Linked DNA regions of Saccharomyces cerevisiae S288C. Changing the gene in region 3 together with the main gene of any one other region gives a genetic interaction. Each region holds a gene or a part of one and is shown on either strand. Other genes may lie near its edges.

Region 1 (3,759 bases), on a different chromosome or scaffold from region 3:
ATTATCCTTCTAAAAATATACATAGAGAAGAGAAAGGATTGATAAGAAACGCCAGAGGATTATACATTAGGTAACGTAAAAACAGCAGTTTCTTCAGCTTGGGTGGAGTTGACAGAATAGTTGACCTTCCACTTGACTTTCAAAGCCTTTGAAGGGTTAGCTGGCGCATTTTCAATTGTACCTTCTTGAGAGATACCATCTTTAGCGTTGCCAATCATAAAGTTACTCGATTGGGGTTGCAATTTCAAAGACATTGACTTAGGGACTGCTAATAAGAACACTAAGTTGGAGATCGGTGACGAACTTAAGTTTGTAAAGAACGATTTTATCCTTATAACTGAGTTTGACTCCCTAGATATTTCGAACTCAATCTTCAAGTTAGGAGACTGATTGACTAGGGTTCTTGCGGGCGCAGTAGTAGTACCTGTTGTTGGATTAAATCCCATCAAAAGATCGAACCCACTACTGTTTACTGCTTGGGAATTAGTTGGCGATTGAGGAGTTGAAAGTCCCAAAAGATCTAAAGTGTTGTTCGAGTTGTTAGTAGTAGTAACTGGTGGTGCGGGTTGAGAGGACCCCAACACGATATCGCCTCCCAGACCAAAGGATGCTTGGTTAGCGGTTGAAGGGTTCGAAATAGATAAATCGGTCAAATCGCCCAATAAGTCATTGACAGATGTTTCCGCTGCTGCTGGTGTACCCGTGCCGTTGGTATTGTTGTTGCCTTGAGAGGGCGCTTCGTCCAAATCATTGAAATCGATTAAGTTGATTTCATTCGTTAAAGCACCAGAAGATTGTTGTAACGGAGCAGAAACATGACTTGGATGTATCTGCGAAGCAGCGTTGGAGTCACCGTTTTTCAATAAGTTGAATTTTTCCAATAGTTGATTAACTGTATCATTAAACTTCAATAGATCCTGCACTAACGCATCGTCTTCCTGTTCTTCCTCAATGATCTTTTGAAATTTTGGTTGAGCTACCTTTAATGCACTGTGAAGTTCTTGTGTAGTTTCGTTATCCCAGTTTTGTGAGTCAGGTGATTCCAGCATTTCATTCAGCAAATCGGCTTTACGCTTCAATTTGTTCAATTCACTGGAAATAGCCTGTTTAGCTTGAACGGCATTGTCTTCTTTGAACCCTGCCATGATTTTCATTAATTTGTTAGCTTCCCTCAAATCTTCAGGTTTACCACGCCTGATCAATTCTTCGAGTTTTGCAGCTTGAGCAATTTCCTGCTCCTTTTGAATTTCACTAGCGGTCTTCAATTGATTACTAGGCTTCAAAACTGCTAGGTCGGATTCACTGATTTTGGGGAATGCATAACCCTTATATTTCAACAAACGGTGCATGTCTCTAATATAACCCATATCATTCTTGTAGCTTGAGTGTTTACAAATTGTTTGATACCATTCTTCAATAGCAGTTAAAATCAATCTCTGAATCTTAGAATAACGTAATGGTGGGTGACCTGGAAATCTCTTGACCAGTTCATTCAAAAATTCCTTTCTAGAAATTTGCAAGTGGAATGGGTATCCACAATTCTTGACAAGCACGTCTAATAGAGATAACGCGAATATTGCCACGTGCGATTCTCTATTGTTGATCAGTTTAGCAAGTGCAATGGCAGCATCCCTAGGGGCAGCGCCCTGTTTTTCATTAATGTAGTCAGCAATGTCAAGATTCAACGCCAAGTCTGGTTCAGCAAGTGACATTCTGCAAGCTCTTTGAATCTTCCTCAAAAGAGGATTGCCCAAGGCTTGAGGTTTCCTGACGGGCAACTCAGACAAATATATGCTATGTGAGTGCGGATGGGACATGATGCAGTATCACGATTAGCAATTCAGCTATGAGTTATGTTGCTCTTTGTTTTGTTTATGGAAATTGTCCTATGGTAAGTCTCTTTTTTTTGCAATCGTGATTACAGAAAAAAAACAGGGCGCTGGAAAAGTGAAGAATCCGAAATTTTTTTCGAAATCACCATTGTTTGTTTTGAGTAGATCAAAGTCTTGAAAGGTGCAGCAAGATATAGGATCTTGACCTGAAGAGTATTGATAACGAACTACATCACATATTGTATCAAATAATGAGTGCTGCCACTGCGACTGCTGCCCCTGTTCCTCCTCCTGTAGGGATATCCAATCTTCCCAACCAGCGTTATAAAATTGTTAATGAAGAAGGTGGTACATTCACCGTGATGTTATGTGGTGAGAGCGGATTGGGTAAAACTACATTTATTAATACCTTATTTCAGACTGTCTTGAAAAGGGCAGATGGTCAGCAACACCGCCAAGAACCCATCAGAAAGACTGTAGAAATCGACATCACAAGAGCTTTGCTGGAAGAGAAGCATTTCGAATTACGCGTTAATGTCATCGACACCCCAGGTTTTGGAGATAACGTGAATAACAACAAAGCCTGGCAACCATTGGTGGATTTTATTGATGATCAACACGATTCTTATATGCGTCAAGAGCAGCAACCGTACCGTACTAAGAAATTTGACTTGAGAGTTCATGCCGTTCTGTACTTCATCAGGCCCACTGGACATGGTTTAAAGCCAATTGACATTGAGACTATGAAGAGATTGTCAACCAGAGCCAATCTGATTCCAGTTATTGCGAAAGCTGATACATTGACTGCCCAAGAATTACAACAGTTCAAGTCCAGAATCAGGCAAGTAATAGAAGCTCAAGAAATTCGTATTTTCACGCCTCCATTAGACGCTGATTCTAAGGAAGATGCCAAAAGTGGCAGTAATCCAGATTCTGCCGCTGTTGAACATGCAAGACAGTTGATAGAAGCAATGCCATTTGCCATAGTAGGGTCTGAAAAAAAATTTGACAATGGGCAAGGCACTCAGGTAGTTGCAAGGAAGTATCCTTGGGGACTTGTGGAAATCGAAAACGATTCTCATTGTGATTTCCGTAAGCTCAGAGCCCTGTTACTGAGGACTTATCTATTAGATTTGATTTCTACCACCCAAGAAATGCATTACGAAACATACAGAAGATTAAGACTTGAGGGTCACGAGAACACCGGGGAGGGGAATGAAGATTTCACTCTTCCAGCAATTGCACCAGCAAGGAAATTGTCACACAATCCTAGATACAAAGAAGAAGAAAATGCATTGAAGAAGTATTTCACTGACCAAGTCAAAGCTGAGGAGCAAAGATTTAGACAATGGGAGCAAAACATTGTTAACGAAAGAATCAGACTGAACGGTGACTTGGAAGAAATTCAAGGAAAGGTAAAAAAACTAGAAGAGCAGGTCAAAAGCTTGCAAGTAAAAAAATCCCATTTAAAATGATGATTAATTAATGTCTTCCTCTTTGTCTCGTCAATTTCAACGCCTATCTCTTTGTCTCTTCTTTTGTCGCAGCAATACGCACATATATATATGTATCTTATAAAAATATTTCAAATATATCTCAAAAAACATAGAATACGTAACACAATCGAACAGTAAAAACAAAAATAAACCGGTTTTTTCACGTTACTCTTGGGCACTTAGGTACCGTTCTGCATCCAAAGCAGCAATGCATCCGGAACCAGCAGAAGTAACTGCTTGTCTATACCTAGAGTCCTGAACGTCACCTGCAGCAAAAAAACCTGGCACAGAAGTCAGAGACGATCCAGGCACAGTTTTTATATACCCCGTCTCTTCTTCATCTACTTGTCCTTTAACTATATCTGTGGCAGGGCTGTGACCTATTGCGTAAAATAGTCCATTTACTTCTAAATCGTTCTCCACATTACTTT
Region 2 (2,883 bases), on a different chromosome or scaffold from region 3:
GTGCTTCCATTGTAATAACTAATTGTGTGCGTTGCGCGGGGTTGTGTGGCTCAAAAAGATCTGTTTTTGTATTAGCAATTTTTTATTTCCCTTTTTAAATGAATTTTTTTTCTTTCTGTTTCGAGACAAGGCCTTTTGCAAAAAAAAAAAAAGTAAAAAAGTGAAATTTGATAGTGTAAGGGGACAGAGGTGGGGTCAGAAACCAATGTATCTATTGATAGTCTTTTTTTGATCGAAAAGCCAAGAGACAAAAAATGAAGAAAATGAGAGATAAGGAATGAAACTTTAGGAACATTGAAGATTCAATCGCCGTTTTTATACGCCAGAGCTTCATGAGACCAAGGAAGGAACGGACGTCGTCTACCGATTACAGTAAGCAAAGAGGATGGTGTTGCCACAACAACGCCCATCGGGAAGGCAAGAGACGCTGTGGTGAACAATAACTGCCAAAACGTGGTTCTCGCACGCTGAAAAGCGCGTTCTCGTGCGCCGCTTTCAGTGTGCTAGAACTTGCACTGTCCGGTTTCCGGTGCTTGGTGTTGGGTGGTCGTACCTGCTAGTTCCATTGGTGCGGTGTATGGGCGGGTACCCTCAAAAAGGGAAACGAAGGTAGGCGCACGGTGCTTATTAAGCTCAGAGGCGACCTCGCAGAAGGGGGCAGACCACACAAGCGGTGGAGGCGCTCCAGATATTCAGTGGAGTGGGGCTTGCTCATGTTCTGTTGTTGGTTTTGGATAGAAAAAGAGCGGGTTGAATAGTTTGCCATGGCAACCACTCTGGAAGCGAAATCACATAGACGCGTAAACACTCACACACAGGATATTCGTATAGCAAGGTACTAGTGGCGACACTCAGGTGGTCCTCGTTGCCTTATCTCCAGATTCCTCAATTTCTGTGAAACGTAAACATTATGGGAATAGTCTAGACGCGTACTTCATTTTCTTTGTTTCGTGAAAAGTACACTTTCCCGTCTTCGCCGGTTCCCTTTCTTGCCTGAAATGCTCGTTCTAATGGAAAAAAAAAGAAATAAAGGTGGGCCTGCCCATTAGCAGGAAATTGGTACTTAATTATTGAAAAAAAAATTATTGGTTGCTAAGAGATTCGAACTCTTGCATCTTACGATACCTGAGTATTCCCACAGTTAACTGCGGTCAAGATATTTCTTGAATCAGGCGCCTTAGACCGCTCGGCCAAACAACCACTTATTTGTTGAAAGCGAGCGCGGTACAAGTAATGTTACCTCATCTGATATACAATAAAGGTGGAGCGCCAATATATACGCATTTGACTGTTCATAATTCATTGAATATAATTTATTCCTTGTTAGTACAAAAGGGTTAAACAGAAAAAGACGTGACGTTGTAACCGAGAGGATGGTAACACCGCGGTATCACCCACTCGCCCAGCCGTTAAATCCAATCATCCGAATAAAATGTTTGTCCTTGCTAGTTTGTCCTGGTGATAAAAGCCATGACCACTTTTCTTGGAGCCTGCATCTGTTATCTCTCCCGTCGATAATGGACTTTGCACCGGTGTATTACCCGCAAGAATTCTGATAACGTTCAAGCTAAAACAAAACTGCTAAATGAGTTCTGAAATGGCATTTATGAGTACATATGATAGATTTGCTATGTATCAAACCTGGAACTGGCGCTAGCGCTATGGTTTCACTTCCTCATTAAACCATACCCTTGACGATTTGACAGGTCGCTACAGATTCAGAAAGAGATCATATCAATACAACAAATAAAATATAAGCGAATAAAGAGCAATGTCTTTCCCCTTTAGTCACATTACTAGCCAACGCTAATTCTTGATCTCCTTCCTCTTGTTTCCGGTGTATCTTAGTTTTCCTGGCGTTGCCGAAGAGTAAAAAAATCCTAGGTCCTAAGATTTATAAAATCGACAAAAAGAGGATTCAAGTAGGATATCTGTCAGTTCAAACCAATCAATCTTTTCTCTCCAACAACAGTTTGAGCTTATTTAATCAAGAAAATGGGTCTATCATCTATCTTTGGCGGCGGTGCACCATCACAACAAAAGGAAGCAGCCACTACTGCAAAGACAACCCCAAACCCTATAGCCAAGGAGCTGAAAAACCAAATTGCTCAAGAACTGGCTGTGGCTAATGCGACTGAATTAGTGAACAAAATTTCTGAGAACTGCTTTGAAAAATGCTTAACTTCGCCATACGCTACCAGAAACGATGCGTGCATTGACCAGTGTTTGGCTAAATATATGAGAAGTTGGAATGTCATATCAAAGGCTTACATCTCCAGAATCCAGAACGCCTCCGCTTCTGGCGAAATCTAAACACACCATCAGGATCAATTTACTGCGCAGTATGTACTCGTACTTGTATATAAGATTCAAAGGATACCAAGAAAATGCTATTACGTTTAATAACGTCGAAGAACAGTATTGCACTATACTTGCTTGGTATAGATATGTACAAAATATATGTATATACATAAAATGAGTTATTCTTTTTCCTAATTCTCTTTTTCCTTTAGTAGAATATAAAATTATAATAAGGATTTTGTGAACATCTGACAGACAGGCTCGTTCGTGTCTATTTCCATTCTGAAATTTGAATGCGCTTTGGCGAGACATAGATTTGTGTCAAAATATGAAGTTGAGTGCCTTTATGAGGTTGGGTTGAACATGAACAACCAGCCAAAATAAAAAAATAATAAATAAGACGAGTGCCACTTATATAGCTTGAGAGAGAGAGAGAGCGTTTGCACGTATATGTGTGACATAATCAGCGTTTACTCATCATCGTCGTCTCCATCGCCTGCAGCTATTCGAGCCTTGACATCTTTCCATAATTTTCCTTTGTTGTGATTCTCGTACCATGAAGTAATAGCAGTATCAAATACA
Region 3 (3,759 bases):
TATCATGCAAATAAAAAAAAAAAGGATAAAATAGAGGCGTTGTTCTGAGGTACCGAACATTCATAAGCTATTCTCACCTGCTACCATAGAATATAGTGGGGGTTCATCTTGTAGATCACTAATATTTTCAAATTTTTCATATTTGGGTAACAAAGAGCTGGTCGAAATATCACTATCGCCAACTAAAATTGGAAAATTCACCGTAATACGATAATTTTTTTTCATTTCAAGCCCTTCCACCAATTCATTCCTGCTATAGGTTATTCTGAACAAAAGCAAATGAGTTACTTTGAGGGCAGCATGATTGGGATAAAATGAACTTGGTTCACAGTAGAATGTTTTAAACCAGCTCGGTAGACCATCCGCATAGGTTGGGATGACAACGTCATCAAAGCAAAATCCGAAAATGGTCTTGTCGGAATCGAAACTTTGGCTTTCTACAGTTCTTAGTAAATACTCGGACTTTTTAATGTATGGCTCTCGTAGTATTTTCTTGGTCTTCAAATCAATACTTGGTATTGCCATTCTCTGTGCAACTGCCAAAGAAGCTTCCTGTAATTCAATGGAAGAATCTGTTTTGGTAATTGATAATATCATTTGGAAAGGCATACCAATTTCAATCAACTTGGAGTTTCCAATGACCGATACTACGATCTCACTTGCAGTATTGTATGACCTTAATTGAAATGTTTCAAACTTAAGCATACTCGTTGAAGGCAGGACTCTTTTAACTTTAATTTCTTCTGTTAAAATGATCTTATCTGTAAAACTTTCATTCTTCAAAAATTTGAGTAAGTTTTTAGGTTTACTTGGTATTCTCATTATTGTTGTTAAGCTTTCTATTCGAAAATGGGTCTTGCCAAAGAAGGAAGAGAAACTTGCTGGGAAAGTATTTGCTTGAAGGGTAAAAGTGAATGGGTAATCGTACGTGCCCTTTGTCAATAGAATTTTCTTATCATTTAATGAGTGGTGTATGACTCTCAACTGCTGTTTGGGGTAGGTGGAAGACTCAAAAAACTCTGTGTGATTAAGTTCTTTGATAATTTTGTCACTATAGGAGTTTTTGCTAGTTTCTGAATTTACAAAGCATGCATATTCCTTTGTGAAACATTTTAAAGAAATTGAATGGGAAGTGATTAAGAGGGCCTGGTCTTCTCTATCAATGTTTATCCTAATCTTTCCTTTGATTTGTAGAGGAGTGGCTCTTTCTCTTTCAACATTTGTAGATATATTATCCAGTGAGGAATCGTAATACAACGGATAGTCAGCATTCAATTGTAAATCGGAGAACATTAGTGTTTTGTACTTGTTATCTAGATACAATTCAATGCTGTAACCACATTTTTTATCTACAGATGATGTTACATAGGGATTTTCGTACAGCCGTAGTGAATCATAGCAATACTCAAGGTCTTCCTTAGCCTTCTTGATTGTAGTGCCACCATTTTTTAATTTCTTGAGTTGAATTAATTTTTTTGGTAGTTCACCACTGAAATCTTCATTACCAAAATGCTGCCTTATCTCGCTTTGTGTGGAACTTTCAGTCAGAGTAGTGGATCTACTAGATATATTTTCCGAGAACACTTGTGAAACCTCGGAATTAAGTGAAGAAGATGAAGACGAAAACAACATTAGTCAAACAAAAAAGGGAAATTCTATTTGTCTGATTTTGTTGCAAGATAACAATACTGGCAAACATGGGCTTGAGTGCTTAGGAAGAAATCTTGAGGTAGCAGTAACTTCTTTTTATTAAACAGTATGCAGCCGCCCAAAAAACTGCGATGTCGCCATTAGTTATTTTGTGACACAAAAACAAAATCGAAAACAAAAGAAATAGAAAGAAAAAGAAAAAAACAAAGGCTAAACAAGATTCCATTGTGCAGATTTAATGTTTACAATATAATTACATTCGCTCTTTTTGACCCCAGCTGCACAACCCACATAATTCGCATAAAACAATAACAATTGGCCTAACATAGATGCCAAACACACTTCTGACATAACTGAATGCTAGGGTAAAACTCCACACAGGTTTTTGAACACGAACTGCCAGTATACAGCTAGCCTTGAAAGTGATGGAAAACATTGTCATCGGCACATAAATAAAAAAATTATGAATCACGTGATCAACAGCAAATTATGTACTCGTATATATGCAAGCGCATTCCTTATATTGACACTCTTTCATTGGGCATGAGGCTGTGTAAACATAAGCTGTAACGGTCTCACGGAACACTGTGTAGTTGCATTACTGTCAGGCAGTTATGTTGCTTAATATAAAGGCAAAGGCATGGCAGAATCACTTTAAAACGTGGCCCCACCCGCTGCACCCTGTGCATTTTGTACGTTACTGCGAAATGACTCAACGATGAAATGAAAAAATTTTGCTTGAAATTTTGAAAAAAAGATGTGCGGGACGCATTGTTAGCTCATTGAATACATCGTGATCGAATCCAATCAATGTTTAATTTCATATTAATACAGAAACTTTTTCTCATACTTTCTTCTTCTTTTCATTGGTATATTATCTATATATCGTGTTAATTCCTCTTTCGTCATTTTTAGCATCGTTATAAGAGTAATTAAGAATAACTAGAAGAGTCTCTCTTTATATTCGTTTATTTTATATATTTAACCGCTAAATTTAGTAAACAAAAGAATCTATCAGAAATGAGTGAATCTCCAATGTTCGCTGCCAACGGCATGCCAAAGGTAAATCAAGGTGCTGAAGAAGATGTCAGAATTTTAGGTTACGACCCATTAGCTTCTCCAGCTCTCCTTCAAGTGCAAATCCCAGCCACACCAACTTCTTTGGAAACTGCCAAGAGAGGTAGAAGAGAAGCTATAGATATTATTACCGGTAAAGACGACAGAGTTCTTGTCATTGTCGGTCCTTGTTCCATCCATGATCTAGAAGCCGCTCAAGAATACGCTTTGAGATTAAAGAAATTGTCAGATGAATTAAAAGGTGATTTATCCATCATTATGAGAGCATACTTGGAGAAGCCAAGAACAACCGTCGGCTGGAAAGGTCTAATTAATGACCCTGATGTTAACAACACTTTCAACATCAACAAGGGTTTGCAATCCGCTAGACAATTGTTTGTCAACTTGACAAATATCGGTTTGCCAATTGGTTCTGAAATGCTTGATACCATTTCTCCTCAATACTTGGCTGATTTGGTCTCCTTCGGTGCCATTGGTGCCAGAACCACCGAATCTCAACTGCACAGAGAATTGGCCTCCGGTTTGTCTTTCCCAGTTGGTTTCAAGAACGGTACCGATGGTACCTTAAATGTTGCTGTGGATGCTTGTCAAGCCGCTGCTCATTCTCACCATTTCATGGGTGTTACTAAGCATGGTGTTGCTGCTATCACCACTACTAAGGGTAACGAACACTGCTTCGTTATTCTAAGAGGTGGTAAAAAGGGTACCAACTACGACGCTAAGTCCGTTGCAGAAGCTAAGGCTCAATTGCCTGCCGGTTCCAACGGTCTAATGATTGACTACTCTCACGGTAACTCCAATAAGGATTTCAGAAACCAACCAAAGGTCAATGACGTTGTTTGTGAGCAAATCGCTAACGGTGAAAACGCCATTACCGGTGTCATGATTGAATCAAACATCAACGAAGGTAACCAAGGCATCCCAGCCGAAGGTAAAGCCGGCTTGAAATATGGTGTTTCCATCACTGATGCTTGTATAGGTTGGGAAACTACTGAAGACGTCTTGAGGAAATTGGCTGCTGCTGTCAGACAA

What was found.
Region 1: mutations in SPO23 (region 3) and CDC12 together harm fitness more than expected from each alone (negative genetic interaction), as found in Saccharomyces cerevisiae (one large-scale study listed by BioGRID).
Region 2: mutations in SPO23 (region 3) and TIM13 together harm fitness more than expected from each alone (negative genetic interaction), as found in Saccharomyces cerevisiae (2 studies listed by BioGRID).

What each region holds. Positions count from the first base shown.
Region 1 is NC_001140.6:326,361-330,119, reverse strand, and holds CDC12 (septin CDC12), read left to right. Parts: upstream 1-2,083; coding exon 2,084-3,307; downstream 3,308-3,759. Other genes in the region: GGA2 (phosphatidylinositol 4-phosphate-binding protein), read right to left, coding at 60-1,817; thioredoxin-disulfide reductase TRR2, read right to left, coding at 3,494-3,759. UniProt on the Saccharomyces cerevisiae protein: Septins are GTPases involved in cytokinesis that assemble early in the cell cycle as a patch at the incipient bud site and form a ring approximate 15 minutes before bud emergence, which transforms into an hour-glass shaped collar of cortical filaments that spans both sides of the mother-bud neck.
Region 2 is NC_001139.9:856,292-859,174, forward strand, and holds TIM13 (protein translocase subunit TIM13), read left to right. Parts: upstream 1-1,995; coding exon 1,996-2,313; downstream 2,314-2,883. Other genes in the region: ribonucleotide-diphosphate reductase subunit RNR4, read right to left, coding at 1-10; QCR9 (ubiquinol--cytochrome-c reductase subunit 9), read right to left, coding at 2,772-2,883.
Region 3 is NC_001134.8:716,906-720,664, reverse strand, and holds SPO23 (Spo23p), read right to left. Parts: upstream 1,633-3,759; coding exon 61-1,632; downstream 1-60. Other genes in the region: 3-deoxy-7-phosphoheptulonate synthase ARO4, read left to right, coding at 2,671-3,759. UniProt on the Saccharomyces cerevisiae protein: Regulates expression of PIS1.